Caenorhabditis elegans: one gene and its partners. The protein of the gene in region 1 purifies or fractionates together with the protein of each later gene. This does not show direct contact. Each region holds a gene or a part of one and is shown in the gene's direction. Other genes may lie near its edges.

Region 1 (13,521 bases):
GGTTGGGGTCATTGGAGGTGATAGATTCGGGGTGTTGTAGTTGTTGTACTGTAGGGGTACTGTAGGGTTACTGTATGGTTTCTGTGGGGAGTTACTGTAGGGGTTACTGTAGGGTTACTGTAGGATTACTGTTGTTTTGTGAAAGTTACGTTTTGAGCTTCTGAAGTGGTGGTGGGTTGGAATAAGTGGAGTTGATAGAGTTGTAGAATTAGGATTACTGTAGTTTTACGAATACTGAGTTTTTTTTGAACTGATACTCAATTTTTTCGCGAAAAAATCGACTTAAACTTTTGTAGTAAAACACCCGTTTTTAACTCACCACTAGAGCTGCAATGACAAAAATCCCGAAATATGCAACCAATTGAGAATCTTCGGTTCGGAATTGGGAAGTGACTTATAGAGACTGAAGCCATAGTAGGCCAAAATTGGATGAACTTCTATGCCAGATAAACTAAAAAAAAATAATCTGACGAGTCTATATTAAATAACCTTGACTACCTCACGATTACGTCCATTTCTTTAGTCTGACCCAGGAAAAACTCAATAGTTAGTGCAAAAAGAAAGCCTCCAACCAAAGGGAAAAACAGCCAGACCCAGAGGATTTTTCCGGTTACATATTTTTTACGTCTGGAATTTAAGTTTTCATTCAAGGTAATAAAACAATTAGTTACCCGGTGACTGTTAAGTAACGAAAAGTCAAGTCTCCACTGAAATTGAACAATGTTGTCCCATAAGAGCCGCTCCAGCACACTGAATAAACTAAAAAGGTTCGTATTAAAAAAATTGAACTAACTTAGAAATATACTGGCAACCGATATAGGCAGAAGACTTTTATCCTCATCAGTTTGAATTATCCAAATTGATCCCAGAGTTTTTACTTCCTGAAAATCTTAAAAATTTAATTTTCCCGCCAAAATTTTTTCTCAGAAAATTTGAATATCCCGCCAAAAAATTTTCTCGAGAAATTTGAATTTCCCGCAAAAATTCATTTCAGTTTCTCAAAAACACTTTATATAGACTTCCGGCTCGTATTCCCATTGGTGAAACAATTTGCTCCAAGAGCTTCAGCCACAAATTTCTTTACTTCCGGCTTGAAACTGTGTGTGGCGTAAACCTTGTAAGGTTTTCCAAGCCAAGATATGGGCGGGGTCAAACTTTTGGGAGTTTTTTTTTTAATTTTAATATTTAATTTAAATTCTTTAAATAAATAGTATTGTGAAATATATGTGAGTTGGGAAATTTACACAACTCAAGAAAAATCGAAAATAGTCCCCGCTCACATCTTGGTTTTATTCGAGATTTTCCATATAACTATAAAACAAATTTTTTCGTGCCGCTTTTATCAAAATTTCAATAAGAGAAAAACCAATTTCGAAAAGCGACGTAAAAACCATAAGATACTTATAAGAGCCCATTGTTTTTGGAGATTTTGTCACAATTAGCCATATTAGTAGCGAATTTGTAAAAAAGGAAACGTAGGAAAGAGATTCCTGAAATAATTTTAGAAAAGTAGACCAGTCAAGCATTAGCATAGTCGGTTGAAGAGAGATGATATGAATAATAAAACATGATAACGACGAATCCTGGGGGAATTATATTTTTTTGGAACATATGTTATGTCAGAATCAGAAGTCTATTCTACTGATGTTTTTTTTATGAACAGTTACTAAAAAATGAGATCTAATAAGCTTCTATTCAGACACGGGAAAAACATATAAAACATATATTTTATTACAGCATTAGCAAAGAAGTTACCTCAAACTTCCGGTTACCATAACACTAATAAAAGTTTTGATTCAGTTTTCGCTTAAAATTACAACTTTAAATTTAAATTTTAAATTCCTACTACATTTTTTTTGGAAATTGAACAATTTTTATTTCCGTGAACTAAAAAACATTTTTGAAGAAAACTTTAAAACAAAATAATTGAAATTTTAAAACGTGTCAAATTGTGAAATGTGGAACTGATCTTATCTGTGCCCCTCTCAATTACAGTTTCACAAAATCAGTATTCAAAACTTGTCCATAAATTGGAATTTTTCGACGGATAAAGAAGTACCAGCTGGAATCAAAAGATCTTAACGATGATCTCACTGGCTTCCTTGATTGCCACCGCCTCGGCTACTAGCACCATGATTGCCTTGTGCTCCAGCAAGGATCGACAAGCGGTATGTGTTACAAGTAGCTTCAGGTTAAGATTCATCATGATTTTCAGGACCGTAAAAAGTCTAAGAAGGGATCAGCATCCAAGTCATCACGTGCTTCTTCCAAGTCTCGTAGATCCTCGAAATCCAACAAGGGACCTGGAATGTTCGGAAAGTCTGGAAAGTCTGGGAAGCCAAGCCATGGAAAGTCATCAAAATCCAAGAAGTCTTCCAAATCAGAAAAGAAGAAGCTGAGACGTGAGAGCAAGGACAAGTCGTCAAAATCGAAGAGATCCAAGAGATCCTCAAAATCTAAAAAGTGTGACAAGTCCTCCAAGAAGTGCGATTTGAACAAGGCTAAGGTAATTTTTCCCACAGTTTCTAAAACTAGAAAAAAAACCTTTTATTAATTCTAGAACCTCTGCCCACCGATCAACTCGACAGATGTTTCCGACGTGTCCATCAAATCGAATTCCGGTGAGAAATCCGAGAAGTCGAAAGCTCTGAAGTTGGTTCCCAATCAGCCAAAGTACACATTCCCGGAAGGACAGGGTGCTGCTTCAGTGAAGTCGTCGACTCTTCGAGCTTCGCCCAACAAGCTTCCATTCGCAGCGACGGGAGGTGTTCAGACAGTCAGCATTGCCAACAACACCAAGTCGAGAAAGGCATTCAAGGTAAGCAGAGGGAATTTGGTTTAGACTTAGGCTTAGAGTTAGGCTTTGGCTCAGGCTCATTAAAAATATAACTTTCCAGGTCAAAACTTCCGACAACCTTCTCTACCGCGTCAACCCAGTGTTCGGATTCGTTGAGCCCGGTGACAAGCTTTCGATCGATGTGCTCCGTCATAATGGAGTCGAGAAGACTGATCACTTGATTGTCCTCACATCCAATGCTTCTACTGAGCAGAATTGTGCCAAGGGAGTCTTTGAGAGTGATCCACCACGCGAGCTCACCGTCATTCCATTGGTTGCCAACTAGACTATGCCCAGCCCTCCATCATCAGCCTGTCTAAAGAAAAAGTGTCTCGAAAATGAATTTTTTTTTGATTGTGTGTGAAAATATGATGAATTTTGATTTGAATAAAGATTTTGATGGAGGTGATCTGTGTTTTTATATCTTGTTTGTTTAATGAAAAAAATCTTCAAAGATACTATAGTGTTCTGGTCATCGAACATCAAAAATTGTAAACAATTCCAGAGATCAACAACTTGCTACTTTTTGAAAGTCCCTCTATGACAGATTTTCTTACTGAAAAATTTATTAGATGTGAACACGGGGGAGCCAAGACGGGTTAAATGGGCTCTTTTTTTTATTTTTGGCAAAATGCCATTTTTTGGACTTTTGTTTTATCACAACTTTTTTCCTTTTGCACTTATAAACTCAAACTTTTTTCAAAAAATCCGTCTCTCTGAGTAGTATCTTGCACATAAGTTTCAAATAAAACAGAGCAAAACCCGAATTTTAATTCAATTAAAACATGGTTTTTTGGGGGTAAAAAGAGCAAAAAATTTTTTTTCAAACTGGGGAAAGCCGCCCTGGGCTCAATTTTGCTCCAAAATTAGTGCCGTTTTCTGCTCCACAAAAGGGCAAAATATTTCTAGTAGGATTTCAAATATTAGAGCATGAAGTCACACGGCTCTGTAGTTATTAATGAAAACAAAAGGGGACATTTTTTCGCGAGCCAAAAAAGTGTCAAAAAACGCGAAAAAGGGGCGGAGTCTGCACACTCGGCATTTATTAGAGGCGGCTTGGCAGAATCCAAATCTATGAAAACTTTTCCAAAATTCTAAAATTTTTATTTTTGTTTTTTTGTGGGGCCTGTATGAATTGTTGAAATTGGAATTCGACACAAAAACCCCTCTAGCGCGTCTGAAAATTGATATCTAGGTAAAAAAAAACGTACCGATAATATTTTTAAACAACCAAGAATCCAAATCCGGGAAACTTTTTATAAAACTCTTTGATTAAAAAAAAATCGATTTCCAAGTTGCTAAGCAATTTCGAAGTTGATAGTAATTTTTTCGATATGTCATCTTTTCGGTTGGTCATCTTAATTTTTTAAAGAGATGCAAATTTTGTAGTTTGAGATATTACAGTTTTCTCTGCAAAATGCTTGAAATAAATGGAATTTCGCTCCAATTTTATTTGAAAGGTGTTCCACTTGAATTGCTTGCCCAAGTATTTTTTTTCTGAAAACTTGAGTTTGATTCTCGCGTTCAAACTTTTCAAAAAGATTTGCCAAATTTATAAAAATATCCAAACGTGTTTTCTTCTGAAAAACTTTTACAAAAAATAAAATAAATTTGCACGTTTTCCTTATTTCCGTGACTTTTCATTTGATCGTCTTATCTCGTCATTGAAATCTTCCATCCCTGTCATTGCCGATGTGGACAACTTCCCAATCTACTGCTTTTCAAAAAAAGTGATAATCTTTCGGTGAGTTTACATTTCAGATGTTCAGTTTTAAACGAAACATTTCAGAGAAAAGTTCAAAATTGGTGTTAACAACAATGCAAATAACTAATTTTTATTTCATTATCGTTATTCAACTAGGATGTATGAAAATCGGTCAATCAGGTGAGTCAATGGAGTGATGGTATTCAATTTAACAAATTCCGCGACCGACGTTTCACAGGCCTACACGCTGGCGCATTGTGACAGGGGTGTGCAGCTGGCTGATGATCCTTTTGCTAATGAGATTTTCAAGCGTTGCCAGCGTGGTTAAAGACTTCCGGCGTGATTTTTGAAGGATGCCTGCAGGAAGGCCATGCCGGCAGCTTTAAAACACACAGGCAGCGATTGAAAATCACGCAAGCGTCGTCAGCAAACCACCCAGCAACGCGCCATCACCAAACAGATGCTCATGCGTGTTTTGTAGGCGTTTCGTGCTTGGTTCAATTATCTGAGGCGCCGTCGGTTGTGAGTACAGTTAAAAGGTTTACCAGAAAAGATGCGCCGGTGACGTTGCTGAAATCTGAAATGTTCTTTCTGCGAGGCCTGGGAAAGCTACTCGCATATCCAAAAACATTTGAAAAATGAAACTAATAAGCTTGACCAAACTATTCTTGTTACCTTCAACATTTCCAGCTTCATCCGATCTCCAAGCAATCAGTGAACAGTTTCGGATTCTATCGCGTGTCACCAATGCAATTTCCCTTCAAGCTGGAGCAATTAGGAAGGAAATCAAAGCTCGTGATCTTCTATCAGAACTTCTTCATATGCCCAGCGATCAGTTGAACACGGTTATGAACGTAAATGTGGAGGCGGCAAGTTTGGAGTTAAAAAGGATGCACCAAGAATACACGAAGTTGATTCAATTATCTAAAAATGATACACAAGCCTTGTCGGATGATGATGTTAAGGCTATGATGGCCACTTTGAGCTTCATATTGTTTTTCTCACAGCAATCGTCTAGCTTGTCAGCATTATCCAGTATCTCAACAAAAAAGTTGTTGAGTGAAGCCGGAACTCTTAGTAGTTACAAAATGTTTGCCACTAAATGCGCAAAGTTATCCTTGTTGGAAGATTTCATTGCTCTTTTTGACGACGACACAGGAGTGACCCCGGATTCTGCAACGGTTGCTGAAATTATCAATAATTTTTATATGGAGGAACAGTTGATGAACACATGCATTGATAGCTTGAGAAGTTTGGGTTCCAAAATAGAAAAATTGTCCAATTGGAAGGATTTAGCAGTCTACCGACAATTGCTAAATGGGAAGAACAATATAATTTGGTTTGAAACACACCGAGAATCCCTGTCATCGATGAATAGTACACTTTTGCAAGTTCTATCTACTTTTCAAACAGCAAAACCGCTTTGGAATAGCCCAAGCTCTCTCGGTCAGAAAATGGTTTTTGAAGCAATGGCTCAACTCAATAAATCAATCGTGGAAGCAAAATCTCATAATATTTCGCCAGTCAAGCAAAATTTGTTGTTCACTGCTGGCTTCAAAAACTCTGGAGATTTTTCGAAGATTGCTGGTGATTTGAATAGTAATTGGTTCAAGAAGCATGTTGCGAAGGGTTCAAGTACAAATTCACTGAGTAATGCTCTTGAAATATTTCAAACAATTTCGGGAAAAATGGTTGCTTTGGATTCGTCGTGGAAAGAATTAATGCATGTAACCAAAGGATTTCAAAACTTACCCGTTGTAGAAAGAGTTAACAATGCTGCAGATGTCGCGACAATCGGATTGAATTTCTCGAAACTGGAGAGAATCATTCAGGACTCGAGAATACATATCAACAACTGCATGAAAGAGACGCTGTTAGCAAGATCAAAGCTAAAATCATTTGATGCAAGCATTGTAGAGTATGAAAAGTATATGTTCCCAGCAGAGAATATTATGAACAGACTTGCAAACATCAAGGACATTATTGCAGAGCTGACCGTCGCCTTGAATTTTATGGTTTATCCGAATACACAGGCACGAGACCTGTTCAAAGATGACTGTCACACACTTTATTGGACTCTTAGCAAGCTTGACGTCAACACATCCAATGCGATAACAGTGAAAAATATGCTGATTAGGGATTTCAAAAAGCTCACTCATCATTCATACAGCTTCATTGACACGATGAAAAGCATTGCAAAAATCTCATCGGAGCTCAAAATTGTTGAAAAAACTTCTGCTGGTATTTATGACAGCGATGGACCGAATCTGGGTGACCTTGTATCGGAACTCGAACTGGTGAAAACTTCACAATGTTTCAGGTTAGTTTGCACGAAAACGAAAAATGCACAAAAAGTGAAAAACAGACAAGTTGTTAATTGTAAAACATACAAAATAAACATGTACAGTTACGTGTCGGTTGGTCATCCTTTGAAGGTCTAGTATATTCTTGCTTAAACTTAATTTTTCAGCCATCATTCTGAGACCATACAAGAACTGATGTTGATAGTTCACAAGCTTTACAGTACACGATACCCTCCTGATCACGCAACTTCATCAACAATGCATGAGTACCTGGATCGCCTTGAAAAGGTTTTCCAATTTTAAATAATTATTTTTAAACTTGATTTTTTCAGGTGCAAAATAATCTAGCTCTTGTGGAAAAGGAAATCAAATCGAGCTCTTCTCAGATAAATGCTACTAACAATCCAGTTCTTTTGTTGAAAACTCCTCAAGCTCTGATTAAAAACATTGGCACGAGCACCCGCGTACTGGAAGATCTTGAGAATGTACGACAGCACCGTCAGTTTCTTTTTTCGGTTCGAAACTTCACTGCTGATGTGAAGAAAGTGATTGTTGGAGAGAATTTGATAGAATGGTTTGATCCGGAAGAGAAATTGATAGAGTTGCTGGAAGAAGCTGATCAATTGAACGAGTTTGCTGGGAAATTGAGAAACGGAAGTTTAACGGAGATGTCACGCGTGTTTGACGAAGCGGCAAAAATAAAAGGAATCAATGGGGACTCACAATCATTGAACACTTTGTCAAGTAAGGACTATCAAATTTAAATTTTATGTTTAAAAAACTTTTACAGTTAAACTTCAAAAATCAGTTGGCATAGATCAGCTGGCTGCCTCGAAAGTATTCCAGAAGATTCGAGAGTTCAACTTGGATTTCGCAAAACATGAAGCCGCTTTGAAGAGTGCAAGTGTCACAGTTAATTCATTGGTTGCATATTACGATGAAATATTTGGAAATTCTAAATCCAAAATCCTAACAATTGAGAAACACATCGATAACTCATTTCCTTGGATCTATATTTTCTTGATTTGCATTGGATCGATGATTTTAATTGGATTGCTTTGTGTTGTTGCATATGGATTCACAAAAAACGGAAGAGCCAAGTACATGAATCTATACTTATACTATTTCGGAAAGCCGCTGGATTATGAAAGAAGATGGAGATATTCGGTATATTGAACTGGTGAAACTTTCACTTCATACTAAACTTGTTACAGTTGTTCCTTGACAATCAGGGTGGAAAGAACACTCTGTTGGATGCAGTTCGGGAGATTAACAAGACACATGTTGTGAAAGCTGTCAAGATGGGAGCCTACATAAATGCATTTAACAGTAAGATTAAGGAAAAGCTAAATTTTTAAAATTTTTGTTTTTCAGAGTTTGGAAACACAGCTTTGCATGTTGCCACGAAATCAGCTTTACCTGAAATTGTTAAGATTCTAATCGAGCATGGAGCAGATCTAACATTGCTCAACACATTGAACAAAACACCAGAACAGATGATTCCTCTCGCTTCTCCAGACCATTCAAAGGATATGGTTGAAAAGCTCGAGAAGATCCGAATGTTGTACAAAAAGGCGAATGGGAAAAAATACAGAATGAGTAAGTTTAGAATAATCAGAGATAAATTTACGAAGATTGTATTTAGGTGTTCCGCAAAAGTTTCCAGCAACTTCATTTCATATTTGGATGGACGAAAGAACTGACAACAAAATCACCAACGATTTTATGGAGAAGTTTCAGGCTATTGTAAGTGTTCTTTGCATTTCGTGTCTCTTGCAAATAATACTATTTTCAGACATCCGATGAAGCAGCCCCGAACACAACCCATGTTATTGTGAAGACGGATGAGAATGGCGTTCTGGAAACTGATGATCTTGACCTACTGTTCTGGGTGTTTAATGGAGCAATTATAGTGAAGGAACAATGGATGATAGATTGTCTGAACGAGGAGAAGCTTATTGAGCAAGATTCAAAGTATTTGGTCGATAGTGTCAAATACAAGGGATCCACTTTCAAGACTGTTCTTCAGTGGAGTGAAGCTATGGCAAAAGGAGCTATTCCATATCTGTACGGGGTATATGCAGCAATTGTCATGACGGAATGCAAGAATTGTAAGTTATTTCAATTAAATCCTGTTAATGTCCAATTTATAATTTTTCAGTGGTAACATTGAATACCCTTGTCGCAGCCCATGGTGGATTTATGATGAAAACCTTCCCAGGAAAGGATGCCTTCAACGTTGGCTCACGTCCATATAATCATGCAAATCTTGGACCACTGTTTTTGATTCACGATGGAACGGTTTGTAATTAGACCTGATTTCATTTGAAAAAAAAAACATTTATTCCAGATCAACTTGAAAGCCTATACTGCTGATCCAGACAAGATGTACACGCTGTTTACTGAAGAAGAGTTTATCAAATTCATGCTCCAAAGAAATATTATCAAAGATACTCGTGAAACACCGATTACTGTTTTGAAAGCTGATAAATAAATACTTTTCTTGGAATTTTTTAAAAGGTATGTGATCTTTGAGTCTTTGAGAGTGACGCGCGAGCTCACCGCCATTCCATTGGTTGCCAACTAGACTGTGCCCAGCCCTTTTTTGATTGTGTGTGAATATATGATGAATTTTGATTTGAATAAAGATTTTGATGGAGGTGATCTGTGTTTTCTTTCTAAAATTTAATTTAAAGATCTTTAAAGATCCTTAGTTTTCCTGTTTGCATTGTGTTACCAAACGTCAGAAAATGTAAACAATTGAAAGTTTACTTCAAAATGTTAACAAACATCCGCTAGAGCACGGCCTCTCTTCATTTCAAAAAATAAATAAATCGACGTGATGAACTGTCTCTGCGTCTCTCATGGGCGAAAGAGTGAGCTTTTTGAGCCGAATTTGTACTGAAAACGGTAAAATAGGCCGGAAACGGCTGATAGTGAACAAAATCTAATAAAAATTTACTAACTGCCTGATCAAACACATAGAAATTATATGAAAAAAGGGCAAAATTGTAAATCACCTATGAATACGCCCACATGTGAAAGTTCAAAATTAGTGATTTACCAGACAAAACTGATTAAAGCCGGCGATTCGCTGATAAATCTTTAAATTTTTTATTAATATATTGTCAATTAAGACTAAGTGTATCTATTTTTATGAAAGTTTACTTCAAAATGTTAACAAACATCCGCTAGAGATCAAAAATTTGCTCTTTTTCCTGAATCACTCTATGACTGATTCTCTGATTGAAGTTTAATGTGAAAATGTCTCTGAATAAGGCTTTTTGTGAGCGCGGGTTATACCCACCCGTTTCTTGCCCGGAAAGCGCCTCCAATAAAATATGAAAAAGAGGAAATAAACTGACTGCGAGAAATCAAAAAAAAAAAACATGGCGATAAATTAAAAAGGTGACAAAAACATCGATTTTTTTAAGTTTAAGAATATTCTATACAAAGTCCTTAAACTTAAAAATGTCTGGAAACTATTAAATAACTATAATAGTTTCCAGAACAAATATTAAATTTATTAATAGTAGGACTTGATTTTTCGAAAGTATATATATTTTTGTGAGAATGTTTTTGGGGAATGAATAACGGTTTTTTTAAAAATATTTTAAAGAGGTTTATCGATTTTTTGATGAGTTTTTAGGTTTTCTACTAATTGTTCATACTTTAGAAACAACTATTTTTTGGAACCATCGATTTTTGGAAAACTTTTTTTAAAAATAAATTATCTTTCAAAGGAAATTGTGGATCTGGAAAAATTGGAAAAATTGGAAAAATTATCTGGAAAATTTATGGATTATAAACGGAAAATCCATATTATTTGGAAAAAATGAGCTTATTTAACGCCAAATATCAATAAATTTTCCAAAATATCTCTTTAACATTGTAGATCAAAATGTTCTTGTACTTCCTAGACTTATGATTAATTTTCTGATCGACTTCTGTTCGTTTGCTCTGACTCACCGAAGAGCACCGAAACACTAACGAAATAGCGCGTTAAACACATGGAGAGCGGCAGAGAAAACACACAAACGAATTGAGCAACTCTGGCCATTTCTCTGACTTTGTGCAAAATATGAGGAGAACCAAAATGTTCGAGTTGAAATTGGTTTATAATGTCGGAAATTTCGGAAAACTTTGTAAATTCGAATAGAAAAAGATGGTCGTCTACCCAGCTGAAGTGATGGAAGTGTCAACTGCTTCAGCCCCGAATATTTTTGGAGTTTATCCATATCTTCTGAAGTTTTCACCTTTTAATTGCGAAAAGTCAAATCCTTTGAGATTTGTTTTTATGATTTTTTCATTCATCACATTCTTGGCGATGGTTTTTCGAGCAGGATATATGCTTTTTTATCTCGATGTGAAGGTTAGTTTTTGTTTTAAAAGTATCTGTTGACGTCTGCTAAGTCCTAGATTTTCAGGCTCTCACATTAGGATTTGCCGAGCAAAACCTATACGGTTTCATTTCGATGGAATCATTCTGTCTTGTCATTGCTCTTTTTAAAATAACAAAAGTTGGGCGACTGAGAAAAGTGGAACAAAAACTCGCAGAAATGCGTGAGATGAGGGTGAGATTTTGAAGTTCTGCAATAGAGTCACGATTCAACTTTTCAATTGTGATGCTTTTAAATACCGCTTACATACAAAGCTTCAACAATCGATTTATTTCCAGATAACCTCCTTCCACGAATCTCACGACAAGTATTGGAAACTGTGGATTGAACTTTTCATCTTCAATAGTTTTAACCTCGTGCTTTTCATTGGAACGGCCATCTACTTACTTTGCAATAGAGTTATTATTGTTGGAACGTAAGTTCAAGAAGACTACTAGACGTTCACCTCAACCATTCCAATCTGAAATTTTTTCAGTAAAACCAAAAGCTCCTGGTACTATTATTTCGATGCTCCGGTTATGATTCTTTGTGCATATGCAAACTTCCTTCATCTCCCAATTCATGAACTTATTCATACTGCATTTGCAAGAGAATTCCGAGTTTTCAATGATGAACTAGAGAACGCTTCGAAGAATAAAGAATTGCTTGTGAGTGAAATTTCAGGACTGTAACTCCAGCCAAAACATAAGCCTAAGCCTTAACCTAAACCTAAACCTAAACCTAAACCTAAACCTAAACCTACGCCTAAGCCTAACCTATGTCAAAAACTTAACTGAAGGTACTGTTTTGTATGATTCTTGTTTTCAGAACCCTCAAACTTTCCAAAGATTTGCCGATCGTCAAATTAAAATGTTCGAATGCATAAATCCATTGACCGAACGAATGAGTAAGATTTATTCACAGAAGTCTTAATTAAACATTAAAACTTTTCAGATCGACTTATGGCCTTTGCACCACTTTTCATACTTACTGCTCTAACAAACGTGCTGTACCTTGTGACAAAGTACGTATTTATTTGAAAAAAATTTAGCTTTTTTTCACTGAGGTATTACAGCTTGAGATCTGCAACTCATACATTATACTTCATTTGCATGGTCGGAATGCTGATATCATGTATTATAATATCAAAGATTCTTCTCTATCCTCCAGCTTTAGTTCAGGAAGCTGTAAGTCATACTTTCTCTGGAATCCAATAGTAGACAAAATTCAAGCCAATTTTGTACAACAAAAAATAATCAGCTCTAGAGAAAATGCCCAAAATTAAAATGTTCTACCATAACGGCCTGAAGCACAAGTTGCTCATTTTCAGATGCTCCACACGTCTACTGTTCTTATGAACGACCAATTCATTCACCATTCCAAGGATCCTCAAATCTACAGTATCTACCGTACCATGGTTGATCGATCGATGCACAATCGATCTGTGAATGTCGTAATACGAATATTCGATGTGAATCGGAAGAACATCGAAAGAGCCTATTTTATTATATCAAACATTGTGCTCGTCATGGTTGTTTTTTCAGCGTTTTGATTTGCTGAAACAGTGTCTGTAAATAAATGTTTGAAATTTCGCTTAACTTCTCTCAATATGATCTATGATTCCATGTTTTCTCACCGATGTTCACATTGCTTGTCTGGTCTCCAACCGTTGCTCACTCTCTAACTCTAATATTTGATTAGTCTTTCGCTACTCTCTTCAACCGACTATTTCTCACAGACTCTATTCAGTCACTACGCAACCTCTGTGAAATGTTTGAATGTCTGTCTCATATTTTTTTTGAAGCCATAGGATTTTTTTCATCAAGTTTTTTGTTCAATTTCAGATTAAATTTACGAATTCTGTTTAAAAAAAAATGTTCCACACTTTTTCAAAGTCGAAACTGTTAAACTTTAACTAATTTAACATGCTCCAAAAATGACGTCACAACTGGAAAATGTGCGTGACGTCATTGTTCCGGAAAATGTGATCAAACGCAGACATCGCTCAATGTCCGCTGCACATTTTGCCAACACGACGTCACGCAAAAAACTTTCGAACAGCCGGTATCCTAACCCAATCAAAACTTTGAATCGCTTGAGCGAAAGCAGAGACGAGTAGAGATGAGAGACGCAGATAGTATAAGGTTCACAGGTTATTCATCGCGAACCTAGATAGATGTCGGCTGCTTGCTCACTATAAAATATAATTGTTCCAAGCACAAAAATTTAGAACAGTGATCCTCAATAGTTTTAGTTGACACAAAAATCTGCAAAGCAGGAGTGCGCGGCAATCGGCAA
Region 2 (9,571 bases), on another chromosome or scaffold:
TCAGGAACAATTCCCATAGAAAAAATTCTAATGCATTACAGAATGATAAATATTCCATATTTTTCATATAACACAAATTTTTTTGACATTCAATGGAAATTGGTTGGCATTTGAGTAAATTCAAAAAAAAATTAAATTTGTTTTAATATTTAGAATGAAACCAGAAAACAAAAGCTGTTTGCTACCATTCTACAGAAAATATTTTTGAAAATTGTTTCATCTGGTGTTTATGTAGAGCTCAGTTCAAGTGCATTGTTTAAACAGCAATATGAACGATGGAAAGTTTTGGACATATTGAACAATAGATGTACTGTAAACCGGGTAAAAAATCCTAATATTACTTTGGAAAAAATCCAGCAATTAGAATACTACAAGACATATAAATAGGTTTCTAAATCCAACTCAGAAAAAAACTTTGAATAGCCACGAGAGGCCACATGCTGCACCAGAAAATGAAATGGTGTAGAACTTCAGAAAATTAATGTACAGTTATTTTTATTTATTTCCGATAAATGTGTTCATGTTACTGGAATTAGCATCATAACAAAATGTTCCCGGAAATTTTAATTTAATTTTTTTTTCTTTGTGGTTTACACCATTATTATATCTTGAGAGTTAATCTCAATTTTTTTCAAATGTATTTTATAATATTTTTAGTTTAAATTACAATCATAGAAAGAAAAATAAGCAACGTTTGATACAAATATCTGGTAATGTAGCGTAAACACCAAAGAGTTCAGAAAAATTTGTGCCCCATACAAACGGAAGGAAGGTGTGGAAGCATGCAGAGCTAGAAAAATTAAAAACTAAACTTGAAAAATAATGCTTGTTTAAAAACCTGCGAATAAAAATAGTAGATTTGATAAGCCGGTAAATTATATTGTGAATTGTTTTCAACGAGCCATATAACAACTTAAGTTGAACACATCAGTTAATGGCACAGTACTTGTATCAAAATACTTGTGTAATCAATGAAACGGTATAATTATGTTTTATCTGGAAAATACTTTTTGAAGATTGAAAATTGTTCTTAAATGAAGAATGTATGAAGATTTCATAAAACGGGTTGAATTTTTACAATTAATCTTGATTTCCGGAAGGTGCATTAAATTCTATTTTAACCACCAGCTTTATCAGATAAGTGAAACAGTCAGAAAATTTTTAAATCTACTAAAAACCAAAAAATTGAGCCGCCAGCTATTTTTCAAAACTCTGCATTACACTAATTCCTCTATTTTCCAAAAAAAAAAACAAATCATTGTTTTTGTTGTACGTACAGTCTAGGATAATCTACAGTACTCTTCTGGAAATGTTTTTACAAAAATTTCCAAAATTTCCACAATTGTGCGACCCCATTGTGTTCGCCAAGTTTTGTGATTTTCCATAATTATTATTTCAATGGAATCAACGAGTAAGTACATTCTGCGTTTTTTTAGTTAGTTTGTAGTGATGAAGGTCCTGCTTTTACCATTTTAGTGTGGCTCAACCGAATTGATTTAAAATTTGATAATTTGATTTCACTTAAAAAATATAGGGCTTGCAAAGGTTTTTCAATTGTCTTTTTTTTTTGAGTTTTGATTTCACGAATTCAAAAATAGTGTCAAAGTATTGTATCAAGAAAAAGTATATAATAAATGTCAAAACCGAAATTGAAAAACCTCAGTAACATCTCAAAAAGAGGCACCGAATTTCTCAGAATTCGGATTTTTTAGGCATTCAGTCAAATTTTGTCATGGTTTTATTGAATAAAAAATAGAAATCAAGTGGTGTCGATTGAATTTGTAAAAAACAGTCTTGAAGCGATTGGACACTTTGAATTTACAGTGTCAAAATGCTGATTGTGAGAAATATGAAAACTCAATTTGAATAACATTAAAAACAAAATTAGAATTCCCTAAAGCAATGGAAATAAAAATGGCCGTAAGATTTGGTTTAAAAAACCGGATATGTTTCACAACTGGCATGAATATGCCATTTGATCAATCATATTGCTCAGTTGTTTTAATTTTGGATTGAAATTTTTTATTTAACCTGATAATGCAATTTTTCTCTTCAATGCAGCTGAAAAAAAATCTGTTAGCAATGGTAACCAATGGTAAGAATGATTTATCGATTTCAAAACAATGTGAAACAGAAATATTTTAGAGAATATTTGATCGAATTTGAAGGTATCCTAAGCCTACTGAGTGGTAGTTTTTTTGGGCAAGCGTTAATTAACAATGAGAAATAGTAGAATAAATTGCAAGTTGTTGAAAGTTGATATTTGGTTGAGCAAACTAACCAAAAAAAATTTAATTAGATTTTTCTCGGTGATTTGAAAAAGTATATAACTAATTAGGTTTTAAATCTAGGATGCTGGTTTCAGGATCAGTTAGTTTTTTTTCTTATTTAAAATTTAAAAACTCTTCTGTAAAATATTTTTGAATAGTAACCCAAACTATAGCATTTTCAAAGATATAAGATATAAGATGAAAAAGATACAAAAACTGTAGAAATTGTTTGACATAGTTTGAAGAAAAAAAAATTGTGCTATTTCACAACGTTTATATGAAACAGGTGTATTTTCTCATTGTCAATAACTTGCCTTGTTCGAATGAGTATCTTTAGAAATGAACGTTAACGCAGTAAATCTGTGTAAAATTTTGAGTTGTAAGCAAAACGTATGAATTATAGCTCGATTGAACCTTTAGATTATTTATTTTCCAGAACGTTTTTACCTACTGTAATTTTTTGTGGCGTTTTCAAAAAATGATTCTTTGGCTCCAAACCACGCTAAATTCTTCTGGACCGGAACAAAACTTTCTGCAATCTTCTTGGAGATAAAAACCAAAAACATTTTCCGTTAAAAAATTTATTAAAAACATCGTCACTTGTCAATTGAACTCTCATATTTTTCAGATTGTCACGTTTGCAAATTTCAATATTTCTATTGGGTGCAAAGTACGCAAAGATCAAAATCGAAAACTTTGCGTGCACGTTATGCAAACTTTTTGAGCAGTTCGGGAGAAAATTGGCGAAAGGGGAAGCCCATCTGAAAATCAAAGAATCAATTGTGTTGAAAAGAGCAAAGATTGTTCCGAGTAAAAATTAAATATACTCTTTTAAATTTGGATTGGAGAGGCCGAAATGTGTCGGTAAATATTAGGGAGAACAATATATTCGGGTGGTGCTGACGCGGCGAATGTAACGAAATTTTGCTAGGAATAGCAGTGATTGGGAAGTCTGACAAGCACCCGACATCTACCTAGTTTTCAAACCCGATAGATGTCGGCCGCTGCAACTATGAAACATTTGGTATTGTATTTTTCTAATTTGAAGTCAAAAAATGTTGACCGCACAGTTTATTTTAATGAACTTGTCATTTTCAAATAATAGAAAAAAAAACGTTTTTAGAAGAAAATAATGATTCAACATTTTTTAAAACTATTACATTATTCGAAAAAAAATGTCGAAGTGAAATATTAGGTTTAAACATGTTTTCAAATTACTGGGGTCATTTTGTTTTTGCTTTGTTTGATATTTCATTTAAGTGGTAAATCGAAATCTATTTAAATATTTAAATTAAAGTGAAACTGCATCAATCCCAATATTATGCTTTCAAATAAAATTTTGATAACAATATTCTGAAACACTTGGAATATTTTTTCGGGTGCAAATTGAACTTTTCTATGATAAAACTGTATAAATCTAAAATTATGATTTATCAATTTATTTTGATAACAAAGAAACAAACATTTTCCGTGAACTTTTTGATCGAACGTTTTTTGGCACATTTTCCACGACGTTTCAAATTCATACGCAATATATAATTTATTTCCTGGACAAATCAACAATCAGAATGGTGAGTACTTTTTTTTCTAGAAAATCGAACAATTGAAGGTATGTTTCAGTTTTGCATTCTAAATTTTCTACTGCTCCCTCTGGTTGTCTTGGCTCAAGTTGGAAGCTCTTGTGATACAGGTAACGCTTATTTAAAAAAAAATTTCCAATTAGATATTTAGATAACTGTATTTCAGATGGAATCCCGAACCAATTCCACTGCAACATTAAAAATTTGAAACGTGACGCTCAGAACTACCTCGAGTGGCCTAACTGGTGTCAAGTGTTTCATGGAAATTTGCATTTGAGAGTGATTAATTTGAAAGCTGCAAATTTTGAGAAATTGGTAAGGTGACATGTATGTTGGTTTCTGAAAATGCAGCGTCCGACATCTTCCGGGCGCAGGCACTCTGTACTTTTTATCAAATGATGAAATTTCTCGAATTCTGTTCTAAGTGTTATCTATCTGAGTAATGTTGAATTTCTAAAATAAAGAATCTGAAACCGCATTTTTATTTTTTGCAGCGTGAAATCCGTGGAACCCTTTCACTAATCAATTCTCCATTCAATCGAATGCCTCAAATGCCAAATCTTGTCAGTATTAAAACTCATAATTCATTCCCTGGACTCGTTATTCTCAACAATACAAGACTCCGTGATATGCGTGGATTTGTGGATTGGAATAAGGATGTCAAGATTACGGGAAATGAATTTCCAGTTTTTATTTCTGGAAATCTGGAATTGGATACTGTTAACCTGCCAGAAATGTTCCACAAACCATATTCTCCACTTTCGTGTGAAAAGAGATTGATGCCAAATTATAATATTCAATTTGCAGAAGGTGAGAATTGAGAAAAATATATAACAAGAAAAAATATTATGCGGTTTCACATAGTTTTCATAAGGACTCAGTATTTAGTTTACTATTAGTTGAGTAGTTAAAATGAGCATAAGTGTACGTTTGTTTTCATAATAATCCAAACTATGACTTATGATAATTATGAACATTTTCATATTTACTATTTTTTTTTACTGTTTCAAATACACTACTCGCATCTGCCGTTCTTCGTTTTAGTTGATTTCGAAGCACGACAACCCATCAATTTCATTTTGAGAGTCACATTTACCATATCTAAATCAATTTTCAGGAATGTCGCTTGCTGCCGTCCTATTCACATTGATCATCTGTGCTACAATGTTCCTTCATCCATTGAGTATGGGAAGTACTAACGTCTATTTTGTGCCTGGATATCATAAATATTGAAATTTGCAATTATTTGGATAAATTATTGATTGTGTGTGTAATTTTTTATATTTATGATGTAGTAGAAAGTGATTATGCTTTAAAAAAAGTTGACAACCGTTTCAAGTTGTATATAAGTTTTCATGTACAAAAATTAAACTCAATATTTTGATACGAGATGGAAACTAATTCAGTGCATTTAAAACCCTGATATCTGAGCGTTTGGCTTAAAAATTATCTAAACTTACAAAACAGTGATAGTACAATAAAAATAGATACAACACTAAAATATTTCAAATTGAGCATTTATCGAAATTTCTTGCCACGTAATACTCCGCGTTTTGGAGATTTCAGCTAAAGCTGAGAAGTTTTACAGGGGTTATCACAAAATTAGTTTATTTGGGCACATTTCTAATAGTAAGTCACAGTACTTTAGTGGGTAACGTAGTAATAAAATATGAATTTGCCTAGTACTACATTGTAAGAACGTTTAAATAATATTTAACTTAAGGCGATATTTTTCCAGAAACGTTAACTATATTTTTGGATGGAACAAGGAAAGAAACTGTAACTGGAAAAATTTTCCGGTGTTTTTTTAATTTAACACCGAAACAGTGAAAAAATTGTTCTGAATTAATACGTTTTCAATTGAAAAAAACTTTTCTTCGGGAAAATGAGTCAGATGTTATATTAAACTTTAAAATTGATACAAACAAAGAAGTACCGATTCAATTGTTTTTCAAAAATATATAAGACCGTTCTGAAACAGAAAAAAATAAATCATGATTTTCTACATTCTTTTCCTGTTACCTCTGGTCTCCGGGCAATGGGGTACCCCTCCACCAATTGTCACTAATGAGCAATGTCAAGTGGAATACAAATCGATAATGAATTGTGTTAGGGTAAGTCATTGATTCAGGAGCGCCCCACATTTAGCAGGCTCTGGCTAAGACTAGTCGCATAGCCAACCCGCATGATGTAGGGTGCTGCTAATTTATTTTCAATCGTATGCCCTTTTCAGAATCCACGTCTTTTCACAAGAATTGATGAAATTCCCCGTCCTGAGAAATCAGAAAATCTTGCACTAATCGAAGAAGTCACTCACGTCCTAGATTGTTCTGGATTCTTAAATTGCAATAGTTCAAGAATTTTGCAGTCATATTTGTTCAATCAACGTTGGATTCTAGACGTACTTCATGGAAAACTGGAGCCATGTCTTGGGAATGGAGTTTTACGCAAGATTTTTGATTCTTGTGATCCTGCTCCAAGTTACAAGAATTTCAAGAAATTCGATGATGATGATTGCAATAGGATTACTGTGTACCTACCTTGCTTTGTGAACGAACTGAAAAACCAGCCAACTTGCAAAATCAGTGATGTAAATCTATTCAAACGAATGATTTTTGCAATGAGATCCGGTTGTGTGATGGGCCATCAAATGAAAATTGAGTTCGACAACTATGGAATTATTGAAAATTCATTTTAACTTAAATCTTGTTACAATAAATGTGTGCTCAATGCCATGCAATATATTTGAATTATTTAAACCGAAATACTAATGTTTACAATTAACTTGTTCATATTTTCAATAAGTTCAGTTTCTAACTTTTGTAATGATGAAAATTATCATGAGATTAATAAAAGGCGGTTTCAAATTACATTCATTTGGAAACTATACATGGATTTTTAATAAATCATTGTCAAATAATTTACTGTTTCATGATGTTAAAAAGTAAACGCCAAATGTTTATTATTTGAATTGCTTTATTTTTTAACCTTTTAAACTTTTTAAAACTTTATTTAACTTTATTTATTTATTTATTTGTTTAAACTTTATTTTTTAATTTTTAAACGCACATATTTAGGAGGCGCATTGTTCATTTGCTGACGTTGAAAATTACAAAGAATAGTGAATTCAGCATTCTAATGAAAAATTCCAGTTTGTCGATATTAACAGAGTTAATGAAACATGATGGGAAAATTTAATATTTTTAAATTGTTTCAGCACTATACAAAATGTGTCCAGCTTAAAACCAGCAGTACAAATGGTTATAGGTATTCATTAAATATTCAAGCATAATATAAAACGTTCTATAGAAAATTTCGGCTTGCCGTCGACGCTGTATATTTATTTTGGCTGAATATTTAAATTTCGTAAAACAAATTCCTCTTAAAAACCAGTAACAGGTAAGATTTAGATTTATTGAATAAACATTTTCAATTCAATATTTTTTGTGGCCTATATTTTTAAATTTTGTGAATTTTTAAAAAGTATAAAAATTCTTAAACTGTAAATTTTTATGGCTTGTGCACAATTGTCACTTTTTTTTAAATTAATGATCACTTCGAGAGAGTTTCACAACTAATTTTTATTATGTATAATATAATGTTCTATATTAAAAAATAACGTTTAAAAAGAATATGGTGTTTCACACAGCACCCGACATCTCATGGGTTAACTCACACAGTTTAAAGTAGAAAACCCGCAAGTTTTCCGGTGCTGGGAGCAATCATCAAGTTGTATCAATTTGCTAAGCGTGAATTATTAATTTTCGTAATTTTTTTAATCGAAAAACGAAAAATTAGATTTTGATTTTAATTATCAAAAAAAAAAAATGTTCCGTTTTATTATGTACTTTTAACCATGTAAGTTGAAAATTTTTTAATCCTGGGATCATATAAAAAAAATGAAGGAAATTTGACATTGAACTTCGACAACACTTTCAGCTCCGATTCAACCCAAAATTGAGTCTAGATTTTTTAAAATATCACTGATAAATTTTCGATTTCCCAGTAGATTAAAAATGAAGTTATTTAATAAAAAATACAGAAAAATACGTTTAGAAAATATTTTTACTCATAGTTTTCTGACTTGAAGTAGACCCTCAAGATGTCTGCTGCTGTAAACAAAAGTGCTCATCTTTTGGTTAATCAAAAAAAAAATTTTTTTTTTAATTTTCCATGTTTTATAAAAATCATGTTTCACTATGTGTTTTTATTCACCAACATAAAAATAAACTGATCAACAGAATTATAAGTTTTTTTTTCTTATAAGTTTTATATATTTTTTATTCTAAAAATTGAACAGTTTGACAACACTTTTTGCTCTGTTCCAGCCAAACGCCCGGTCAAAATATTTGTCTCCCCCAGGTGTTCAACAACCTGTCAAACATTGCACAGACTATTATTCTATTTATGTACTCTTTCACCTCCCCAGTAGCACTCAAATGCATACAAAATGTATCTCTAAGAAAAGGTGTGAAAGCCGTTCTCCCCGCCAGGTGTATTTATTTGTCTAACGGCTTATAACATTAGCCTGGAGACTTATGTTGACCCCTTCAATGCTTCAAAGTTCGCTTTTTAGTGTTCCCTCCGCTTTCTCTACCACTTGAACTCTAAAAAATGTTCTTATTTTTTCTGTTACCTGTATTCAGCCTGGCTGCTGTAATTCAATCATTCACTATTGGAGTCTCTACTGAACTACCTACAGTAACCACTGTGGCTCCGGTGGCGCAGGTTGAGCCAATTACGGTTCCAACGAGGACTCAAAACACTTATAATGCAAAAATTGAGCAAAGATTGCCGTTTTTAAGAGGTTAGTCGGGACTTTTCTGAGAATTTTTTTTTTCTGAGAATTTTTTTTTTCTGAGAACGCGTAAAAACTGGTAATTTTATGCTGTTTCAAAAACAGCTGAAATAATTTTCTGTTTTTTTTTGTTGATGTTGAGCAAAAAGTCTTTGCAAAATTTGTATTTTTCTTCATTTCTCAGCGTTAACTTGTTTTTTTCCCATTTTGTTTTTTTGTTGGTATAGTACGTGATGTGCATGTTTAATGCATTTGAAAAAACATTTGGGTCCTGTTCAAAATGACCGAGAATTTGCTCGCCAAACGCCACGCGCTCCGAGGAGTTTTTCTGTACGAGTTCCTCCAAGGCTGCAAGTGCAACGAAGCTCGACGTAACACGTGTGCAGTGTTAGGCAAGAACTCTGTCACCTATAATACCATGAAGTTTTGATTCAAAAAGTTCACGAAAAAGACATACGACCTCGATGATAAACCAAGCTCCGGTCGCTCTCGTTGGAATATCGATGAGGATATTTCGAGAGCCCTGGAAGATGATCTACGAGCAACGTACCGCGAACTTTCTGCGACTCTCAAGCATCCCCAAATAACCATCATCAACCATCTCCACGAAACCGGAAGGGTTCCAAAGTTTGGTCAACTCGTTCCTCTCAATTGTCCGATTCTCAGAAAATTTTGCGTTGTGACCACTCTCTTTCGCTGCTCACTAGAAAACGAACGACGGGCTGAGTTAGGGATTTTATTACTGGAAATGATAAATGGGTATTGTAGGTTAACCATACCAGAAAGAAACAGTGGGCCCCGGTCGAGGAAACCGTGAAACCGTGAAACCTGACCTCAAAAGAGAACTTTACGAGAAAAAGTGCTTCTCTCAATTTGGCGGGGCAGTAAGCGTGTTATTTTCAGAGAGCTTCTTCCAGGTTTTC
Region 3 (9,501 bases), on another chromosome or scaffold:
AATGGTCAGGGTCATGATAAAACCAGGAAGCAATGGAGATACGGAAGAATGCGTATAAGTTCAGCGAAATAGATACAAGGAAGTGTTATTTAAATAAACCAATACATTATTTGACCGATTTTTGGAGATTAAGTGATTATTTCTTTGAAACAACTCAATAATCATTTTTCTCGCTTGATAATTTCTTGTTTAACACTAATAAATAAGAGATACAAGGAAGTTCCTTCTTAATAAGAATGTATTTATGATCAGTGATAGAATGATCATTTGGTGCGGTGGATGTCATCATTCCCAGCCAGGGGTGGGTGACAAGATACGAAATCCTCGTCCTTCTCGTACTCATTCCGAGGTTTCTGTGCCGCCAAGTACTCTGCTACGTCCAACGGATCCAATGACAATTGGCTTCGTAGTTCCGAACAATTGTGTATTCTAGATAAAAGCTATTCATGTTTGTTATTCAAGGTTTTGCTATGAGAATATTTAGCATTTTTAGCACAAGTTTACAACTGCTCAGAAGAGCAGGCCACTACGGCTCCAAAATTCATTGGCTCCGTGCGGTCATCAAGCCCTAAAGGACTGCTTCACGCTCGCGGCCTGCCCGTCTCCCTTTCATCGCAGTTGGCATCTCTACCAATTTGATGGGAATTACGAGATACATACTGCAGAAATGATTCTGTATAGTATGGTCTCGATGAAAGAACCGCTGGTCTTCGAGGTGACTGAGCGCGGCGGCCGACACATCACGGGTTCCGCCTGAGACGATTGTTTGTGTACGGGGGAGACACGCCCACTTCATACTTTGCAGTGACTATGAGTCGCCGGAGAAATGTAAAACGAGAGAAATGAGATCTATGACCTATACATCTTTATTTATGATTTCCAAACAAAAATTATTATTATCCACATTTCACAGTAACTTCGGCAGGATTCTTAAAGCGAAGATCGACTTTTCCAAAGTTGTACACTTTCTTCTCATCAGGAGTCTTCGAGTTAACAGTGACATTGAGTGGTGGGATTGGTTGGACGATTTTCCGATCGCAACGATGTGGAACTTCTTTAGATTCCCAGCATCTGTGAATGATAACGACATAAGGAGTAATCATATAAGCATCAGTTGTCACATAGGCTTTGAAATCAAATTCTCCTTTCTCGTTTGTCCATCGATCCATAAAATCTTCGTATCTGACTGAGAGTAAAGATTTTAGATTCAGTTGAACGATTTCAAACTCTCTTACACATTTGTGCTTCAGAAAAAATGTCCATTGGCATGTTGGCAGCAGGGACATCATCACACACAAGTTGTCCTTTGATATGCACGGAAAAATCTGTCTGCTTCACGGCCAGACACGTGGCAATAATACCGGAAAGAACAACAACTAGCTGAATGGGAAAACTTTAACTTCAAAAAACCTAACTATATTACATACCATTTACAAACCAGTTTGACCACTAAAAACTCAGTTGAACTGTATTTGAAACTAAATTTTTCTCGGTGTACGTGTCGATATTTATTTTAAAAAATTGCCACGCATTTATGTTTTCAGTGTTATTTTTCTTTTAGTCCTTGACAATTAATATTAATTGCAATTTCCAACATATCAAATAAAAATCAATGGGTACGGTATACAACACCGCAAACACCGTCACGTCAAGTCGCAGACTTTCAACAGCCGCTCCATTTTTATTTCTTATTTTTCTAGTTTTTCCGTTTATTTTGCGAAATATTATCACTTTTTGATTAATTTTATTGCAAAAATTTACAATTTTCAGTTAATATACTCATTGAAAACACTTTATTAACGTAGCTTATTACGTTATTCCTCCTGCGGTATTTAAATTTGGTTTTTCTATTCGCCACTACTTTTTAAAACGTTATTTTGTTCATCATTGAGTATTCAATTTTCAGAAATGACCGTATATCTCCCTGGCGACGTTATCAATGAACCTTCTTCAAGCGATTCCTCAATCATTGGCTACGGAATTAGTGTACGTGGCCAAACGAGAATTGCCACTCAACCTGGAGCTTTCCACAACGATGATGGAAAAGTCTGGTTAAATGTTCACAGCAAAAGGTAAGAATGATCACGAACAACATTTAAAATCACAATTTTTCTTAAATTCAGATATATACCACAGGAAGGAGACCGAGTAATCGCTATTGTCACTTCAAAAACTGGTGATTTCTTTCGTTTGGACATAGGAACTGCCGAATACGCCATGATCAACTTTACTAACTTCGAAGGTGCTACTAAAAGGAATAGGCCGAATCTAAAAACTGGAGATATTATTTATGCAACAGTTTTCGACACAACTCCAAGAACTGAAGCAGAGCTTACCTGTGTGGATGACGAGAAACGAGCACGTGGAATGGGACAGCTAAATGGAGGATTCATGTTCAAAGTTAGACACGAAATTTACTATTTATTGTAAAATTTAAAAATTATTATAGGTCTCCTTGAATCATTGTCGTCGACTAATCAACCCATCTTGCAAAATTCTTCAAACTGTTGGCAAGTTCTTCAAATTCGAAATCACTGTTGGAATGAACGGAAGAATCTGGATTAGTGCTTCGACTTCTGATGATATTATCAAGATTCACGATATTATCAATAAATCAGAGTTTATCACTGACGAAGATGAGCTTATCACCCTGGTTCAGAATAATTACACACGATCTGTCAGTGATTAAGAATCTTTATCTCAATTTTTAATTTTTCAGTGTAATTCCTGCTATTGTTGATTTTTTTTTCCTTTTGTTGTTGAACTTTTTAAAAATTTAATTTATCGTCTTGTTCTATGTAATATTTCAATTTTCAACGTTTCTTCGTTGTTTTAATATTTATTACTCAATATTCTCAATTCACAATGGAAAATTTTCGACATTCAGTATGGGTGAAGGCTTAGTGGAGCAACGTCAAGCTGACGATAAAGCATCTTGGGATGCTTACTGGAAAGTTCGTGATATCGATTCACGAGGATCCATCTACCCACGATTCCGTTATTATGCCCATAAGGCTTTCGACGCCCCAGCAACTTGGTTCAGAGGTAATTTTTAAAATTCTCAAGTTGGAGAATCATTTAAAGAAGAAGCAGCTTTGAAATTAGATTTAAAACCATTTACAAAATGTAAGAATTGACAGAAAACAAATTTCGTTCAAGTTTATTTACTTTCACCATTTGTTTTAATTCCAAGTAATTGATACTGTCTACGGTTTTATCCAGATTCAAAAAATTTGGGAACTTGTGGTGCAAGTAAAGGTTAATTTCTAATTCCCATATCATTGCTGTAAATTATAATTTTAAACTAGAAAAAAACCAAAGTTATTCGACTACCTCAAGCTGATGTACAGTTAGTAGTTGCAGTTCCACATAATAAATCAACTAGGCAAAACAATCCATTTTAATCTATTCTACTAACTCGTCAGCTTTTCAGAGACTATTGTGCAACCACTCAACAACAAGAACCGTCTACCCTACTATCACCGTCAACTTACACGTGTTCCGGAAATCGACGAATGCGGAGTGAACGACAAGGCCTGCTTCTACGAAGCCAATGAGCAGTACCGTCTTGATAAAATGGTCGATGGATTTATTCTGCAAACCCTCCGCCAACGTGTTGATCGGTGTATGCTTTACAACAATCCTGATCATTCACCATGTGCCAAGGTTATTGAGGATATGGAAGAGAATGAGTTGAATTTCTTCATGAAATACGGAGAGTTGGGAGGAGAATCCGATGTTCGTGATGCTTATATGAAGCAGAAGCATCGAATGATCTGGGAACGACGTCATCCAGAGATTATGGATGAGCGTGCAGCTAAGCTTGCTGATCATAAAGCACGACTTGCTAATGGAGAGTTTGACTATTCATTCTGGAAGAAGGGAATGTTCTATCAAGACAAGAAGAACTATGAGCCACCATATGAGTTCCAAATGAGCAAGTCAGCACTCGAGGGTGACAAGCCATTGTCCAAGGATTGGGAATACTACAAGAAGGTAAATATTCTTTCAAGATTTAATTTTAAAAAAGAAGCTACGAGAGAATCCTGGATCGAAAATTAAAATTTTATATTTTCAGGTCTCACAAGACCCAGAATTCGACAAGGATCAAGGAAAGAAGTCCGACTTCCGTCTCTTCTAATTCTACGCTGTCAATCTTTTCTTTTTCAATGAAATTTTTTAGAACGAATTGTGTTGAGTTTTCTTATTCCGTCGTAACAACTTTTTTTTCTTTTTCATGTTGCGTTCTTTTATTCCATTCAGAAAGTGAATAAATGTAGATTGTTTGATTGATTTATAAAGATTTGAATATGAATTTATGAGAAACGGAAATATTACCAGTCAGCTTTTCTTTTCAAATTAATTTAAATCAAAATTTAACTTTTTTAAGTTTCGGAAATGATACTGACATTTGCACGAAGTCTCTACACACAGGGGCAGTATAACGGAAAAATAAGGTTTTATTTTTAAATTAATTGTTTCTTTTTGAATTTGAGTTTTCAGAGAATATTTTTACTATGTGAGCCACAATGGTTTCCTATTTCTGGACGATTCGAGAATGAAGAATTTTACAGCGGCTTATAAAGGTTTATTTTACAGGAAAAACTGTTAACAAATCGAAATTTCAGATATTCAGTTTCTTAATTTCTTCTACAGAAAGATCAAGGAAAACAAGACGGGAAGATATGAGGTAAAACGCGAAATTTGCGATTTATCAACAAAAATACGGTAGCCGGTCTCGACACGACAATTTTTGTTGAATGAGAAAAGGTGTGCGCTTTTAAAGAGTACTGTAATTAAAAACTGTGATTTCTGCCGGATTTTTTTATTGATGTTTCCAATTCTTTCTATAAAATAATTCGACAGAATCTTAAGTTTTAATCTACAGTAATCTTTAAAGGCGCACACCTTTTCTCGTTTAACAAATATTTGTCGTGTCGAGACCAGGTACCGTATTTTTCACTTCAAAAATGTTGAAATTTCGTTTCTGGGTAATCTGAAAGTGTTCTAGATTTTCGATCAATTCCTATCGAATGCAATTAATTAAAGTTTCATCCATTGAATTGAGCTTAAATACTCAATTAAAAAATCGTGGAGGGAGCTGAAAAAAAATTATATGAAATTTCAGGATACATTCCCGTGGGTAAGCCTTTGTGGAATTGAGCGAAACTTTCTGAGATGCGACGACACTCCACTTGTTTACACGGAACTCGACTCCACTGAAAAAGAGCTCCGAATCGGGCAATCAACCATTTACCATTCGTTTCAAGTAAGATGAAGCACAGATTTTTCAGATCTGTATTCTAAAATTTCAGCCCTCATCACTTTCAATGAATTCAAGCGGCCGTGTTTATCACAAATGTCCGATTGGTGGAAAAGCACTGGTAGCTGACAAATTGACGGATAAACTGTATCGCCGGTTCCGATTTGACGATGACGGCGTTCCAGTCGGATTTCAGTGCGGGGAGCAGATAATTGAGCTTAAGAAATGAAATAAATAATAATTAATGTATATTGTCTGATGGAAAGTATCTAATGAAGTATTTAAAATAAAAATAATGTTAAACGTGAACCCTTTTCAAATTTATTTCCACGCCCTTTGGCGGCCTTTCAAAATCGATTTTTCAAGTTTTCGTTTATTCCCTGATCTTCCGGGAGTTATCTCCTCCACGTTGCATTATGGATGTTTGTAGGATTTTCAATCGGATAGGTCAGTTGCGAGACGTAACATTCTAAAATGAGCTTGTTTGGATGGGTCTTGCCGCGAAAACTTTACGGTAGCATGGAATTTAACGCGTTACCATAAACTTTTGATCGCAACTAGACCCACTCAAATAAATCTGTGCGCCTTTAAGCAGAGAATTAAAATTACAATAAAAATATTAAATATCGATGATCACCCTTTTTCAGTATACTTTTTGGTGGAAAAATCGTTGGGCGATATCTCGAAATTCGACCCATTTGATGTATTGAAGCTCGTCGCATTGTGGGGTGGACGTGTGAGATTTTTTGATAATTGGAAGCACAACCAGAGAGAAAGGCAGAAATGATAGTTTTTCAGTTATGTCTGCTGATTTTCGTGGGCACACTCTGCAATGTTACATATGTGGTAATCTTCAAGATGATACCAGTTGAATGGAAGTGAGTGAAACCTTCAATCTTCCACTCAGGCAAGAAATGCCTTCCTGCCTGCCTCTAGGTCGGTTCTGGCACCAACATGAGTGCCTACCGCGAAAAGTCCACGCCAATGGAAAAGAAAGTAGGCGTTAGGCAGGCAGGCATGATAAACTTGCTGAAACTCTATTTAACAATAGTTAAAGAAGTGTATTTTCAGCGAATGCCAAAATATGTCGTTCTTCGTGTTCCGTTTTGTGCTCCTTATCTACATTTACTACAGTGTCGTTTTTCACTACTACAAGGCCCGGACTCTGACACCTGTTGTGAATCCAGGGGTAAGCCTCCAAAAACAAAGATATGACGTCATAAGCATAAACGGTCGTCCGAAATCAAGCATTTGAGACAAATACTGTAATACACATTTCTCCACGAGGAGTACACACAAAGAACGTAAATCGACACGTTCTTTGTTTTACAGTCATTTCTCAATAAGCTAGAAATTGTAGAGCCTTTTTGAGATTTTTTTCTTAAAATTTCAAATCAAACTTTTCAGACTCCCAGTGACTCATTTTGTATCAAATGCAACAATTGGAAAGGTCCATCAACATCTCATTGTAAAGCTTGTGACAAATGTATCTACCGTATGGATCATCATTGCCCTCATATTGGACAATGTGTTGGAGCACACAATCAGAGCCACTTCTTCCTTTTTCTTTTCTATCTTCAAATTGCAACGGGCCTCTTTTTCTTGATGGCTACAACGTTTTGGATGAAATGGATAGAGGTTGGTTTGGTGCCTGCCTTGTGCCTGCCTATCCTTAAACTAGTAAATTATTAGTCCTTCAGACTCGTAAAGAACTAACTGCAATCCCGGATGATCAATGCTGGCCTCCATATTGTTTTAATAGATATTACTACTTGATTACACGTTCTCAAGGAAGTATGTCTGATGCATTTGAACCTTTCTAACTTCTCAAATTCCAGCCGAAGACACTATGGTTAAATTCGCATTTTTCCTTTTCGTAACACTTCATTGGATTATGTGGGGATTTGTTGGTGTCTACGTAGGAATCATTTCATTTGGATTAACTATGGCGATGAAAATGGTAATCAAATTGGCAACATCTGAACCAATTCAGAATTTCCAGTTTCAAAAGTCGGACGCTGAATCTCGTAAACCTTTCACTTGGTTCACAATCAAAGCTCGTTGGAGAAAATACATGAACTGTCAAGATGAGCCACTTTGGAAGATATTTTTTATTCCGAAAACCCGCAAAATTGTGTCGTATAACGATTATAAGGAGTTAATTATGTAGAATTATTGTAGAATTGTCTAATTTTCTCTTTTTTAATGTGGTTTTTTATATTGAGTTTTTTTGGTTGGCAATAAAAGGAATTGAAAATCGGGTTTTTTGTTGAAAATTGAAGAAATGAAGGTTGCTCAGAATCACTTTGATGGAACCAAAATAACAAATATCATGGGATAGAAATTTCAGAAAATATACTTTTTGTGGAATTCCAATTTGGAGCCGCGCGATTTTGTTAGGGCTTGGTGAGATGGAATGAGCTCGGCTTGTTTTCATATTTTTCCAATGACTAGTTTCTTCCTGACTTCAAGAAAAAACTTGAAAAAAGCAACAATGCAAGCGAGCTCCACCCTGCAAGCTCACATACAGCGTGGATGTTGAAATTGGAATTTGGTAAATGCTGAATTGGTTTTCAACAGGAAATAATGTTTTTTTTTTCTGGAAGTTTTTAAAACCATTGAAAAACGTGTTGACCGCCCTTCTTGAACCGTGGATTTTTTCTTCTAAAAAATCCAAAAAAATTTATCACAAGTTCTCATACTCTCGTTTCTTCCTCGAAGCGATGAGCACGACAAAATCGATAAAAATCAATTCAAATTCAAGTTTGACGGAGAGCAAGAAGACAACCATTGATGATGAGGACGAGCTGATTTTTCGAAAATCTTCGGATCCCGAGCCGTATCAACTGGGAAATGCTCCAGAATGTGTTTATTCTGGATGGAATATTTTCATTGGAATATTCCTCTTATTCACTACGATCTTCTTGGCGTGAGTTTCAATGAAACTGTTATTTTTTTACTTGGAATCTTTCAGATCAGGATCGGTCGCATCTATTGTAACTCAATGCTTTGGACTGGCTTATGTAAGTTATGAAAAGTATGGGTTCGTTCCACCAACGTTCCGCGACCAATCATGAGGCGTCACAAAAATAGCTGATTGGTCGATACTTTTTAAAATAAAAAAAACCTGCCTTGTGCCTACACGCGTTCCTACTGCTTAAATGAAAGCAACTGTAATAAGAAAATGAATAGTAATCCTCCAAAAATAGGCGGTGGGCAGGCACCGGTAGGCACAAGGCAGGAAAGCACGCCTGAAGGCGAGCAGCAAAACTTGATTTTCAGATATGTGCTGGCCTACTGACATCTGTTCTTATTCTCAAGTCGACACGTGTGATCTTTGCGATACTGACTGTGTTCTCGGCTATAACAATTATAATGACTTCTTTGACTATTTTGGGATTCGTTTATTCAATTGAAGGATCTATGCCAATGCCAGAACTTATGTTAAAAAGTGAGTTTTTACTGGAAATACATGCGTAAAATAAATATTTTGCAGATCCAACATTGGAAATAATTCTAGGAGGTTTACTTACTGTGCACATTGGGTTGAATGTCTTCTGTTTCTTTGTATTTTTGAAGAGATCTTTGTAAGAAACATGAGAATTAAATGTTTTTTTTTTGAAAAATTAAAAATTACAGTAAAAGTGAAGTAGCACCGGAGCATGGGAATATTGAAAGAGCAAAACGTGCATCTGCTCCAATAAAATTGGAAAAGGAATCTGGAGAAGTTATTGTGATGGATTATTTTTGAAAGAAGAATAAAGAATTTTATTCAAATTTTATTGCCAATTTCTTCGTTACTGAAAAATTCCACAGTGACACAGAAGTGTCTTTCTGTCAGCCTCAAAGACATGATACGCCTGCATTTTTATCGTGCCTCCTTCCAGGAATACACCCGGTTTTAATATCTAATTTAATGTTGAACAGGAAAAATGCTCACTACAAAATGTGGAAAATGGGCTGTAGCAGTGCTGTGCGGCTCTTGAAAAAAGTCGGCTCTCGGCTTACGCCGAGAGCCGAGTCTGAATTATTTTTTCGGCTCTCGGCTCGCGCCGAGAGCCGAGTCAAAATTATTCTCGGCCTTTTTTGTAGGCATGTAGGCAGGTACTCACCTGAAACTCTTTCAACCATATTTGGAAACCCAACTTTTTGCAATAGTGTTTCGTTTTGAAGAGGCGATTCCATAGGCACGTGCCTGAATTATTTCGAATGTGAAAAACTGAAAAAGCTATACAAAA

Evidence for each region.
Region 2: the proteins of F36D3.5 (region 1) and ule-2 fractionate together in Caenorhabditis elegans (co-fractionation; one large-scale study listed by BioGRID). This does not show direct contact.
Region 3: the proteins of F36D3.5 (region 1) and exos-3 fractionate together in Caenorhabditis elegans (co-fractionation; one large-scale study listed by BioGRID). This does not show direct contact.

What each region holds. Positions count from the first base shown.
Region 1 is NC_003283.11:16,506,194-16,519,714, reverse strand, and holds F36D3.5 (BRCT domain-containing protein), read left to right. Parts: upstream 1-4,474; 5' UTR 4,475-4,580; intron 4,581-4,625; 5' UTR 4,626-4,654; coding exon 4,655-4,721; intron 4,722-5,231; coding exon 5,232-6,861; intron 6,862-7,011; coding exon 7,012-7,132; intron 7,133-7,176; coding exon 7,177-7,588; intron 7,589-7,634; coding exon 7,635-8,011; intron 8,012-8,058; coding exon 8,059-8,173; intron 8,174-8,218; coding exon 8,219-8,443; intron 8,444-8,489; coding exon 8,490-8,590; intron 8,591-8,639; coding exon 8,640-8,955; intron 8,956-9,005; coding exon 9,006-9,145; intron 9,146-9,194; coding exon 9,195-9,338; 3' UTR 9,339-9,353; downstream 9,354-13,521. Other genes in the region: F36D3.4 (Major sperm protein), read left to right, coding at 2,085-2,168, 2,216-2,506, 2,561-2,818, 2,898-3,122; srr-3 (Gustatory receptor), read left to right, coding at 11,010-11,216, 11,272-11,418, 11,523-11,659, 11,720-11,891, 12,052-12,130, 12,178-12,247, 12,299-12,410, 12,554-12,775.
Region 2 is NC_003282.8:14,629,287-14,638,857, forward strand, and holds ule-2 (Uterine Lumin Expressed/locailized), read left to right. Parts: upstream 1-5,839; 5' UTR 5,840-5,844; coding exon 5,845-5,964; intron 5,965-6,083; coding exon 6,084-6,548; 3' UTR 6,549-6,738; downstream 6,739-9,571. Other genes in the region: irld-4 (Receptor L-domain domain-containing protein), read left to right, coding at 3,839-3,841, 3,891-3,960, 4,017-4,165, 4,345-4,660, 4,968-5,083; srlf-27 (SXP/RAL-2 family protein Ani s 5-like cation-binding domain-containing protein), read left to right, coding at 8,465-8,657.
Region 3 is NC_003279.8:10,516,473-10,525,973, forward strand, and holds exos-3 (Exosome complex component RRP40), read left to right. Parts: upstream 1-1,906; 5' UTR 1,907-1,908; coding exon 1,909-2,072; intron 2,073-2,123; coding exon 2,124-2,400; intron 2,401-2,449; coding exon 2,450-2,689; 3' UTR 2,690-2,786; downstream 2,787-9,501. Other genes in the region: nlp-4 (Transthyretin-like family protein), read right to left, coding at 897-1,186, 1,236-1,380, 1,428-1,430; ndub-10 (NADH dehydrogenase [ubiquinone] 1 beta subcomplex subunit 10), read left to right, coding at 2,889-3,045, 3,434-3,996, 4,079-4,141; UPF0598 protein F59C6.12, read left to right, coding at 4,399-4,457, 4,504-4,586, 4,629-4,690, 5,129-5,269, 5,316-5,492; dhhc-12 (Palmitoyltransferase), read left to right, coding at 5,680-5,710, 5,911-5,999, 6,062-6,141, 6,335-6,452, 6,671-6,901, 6,964-7,057, 7,102-7,223, 7,266-7,433; F59C6.3 (uncharacterized protein), read left to right, coding at 7,987-8,192, 8,238-8,286, 8,546-8,714, 8,760-8,850, 8,903-9,014.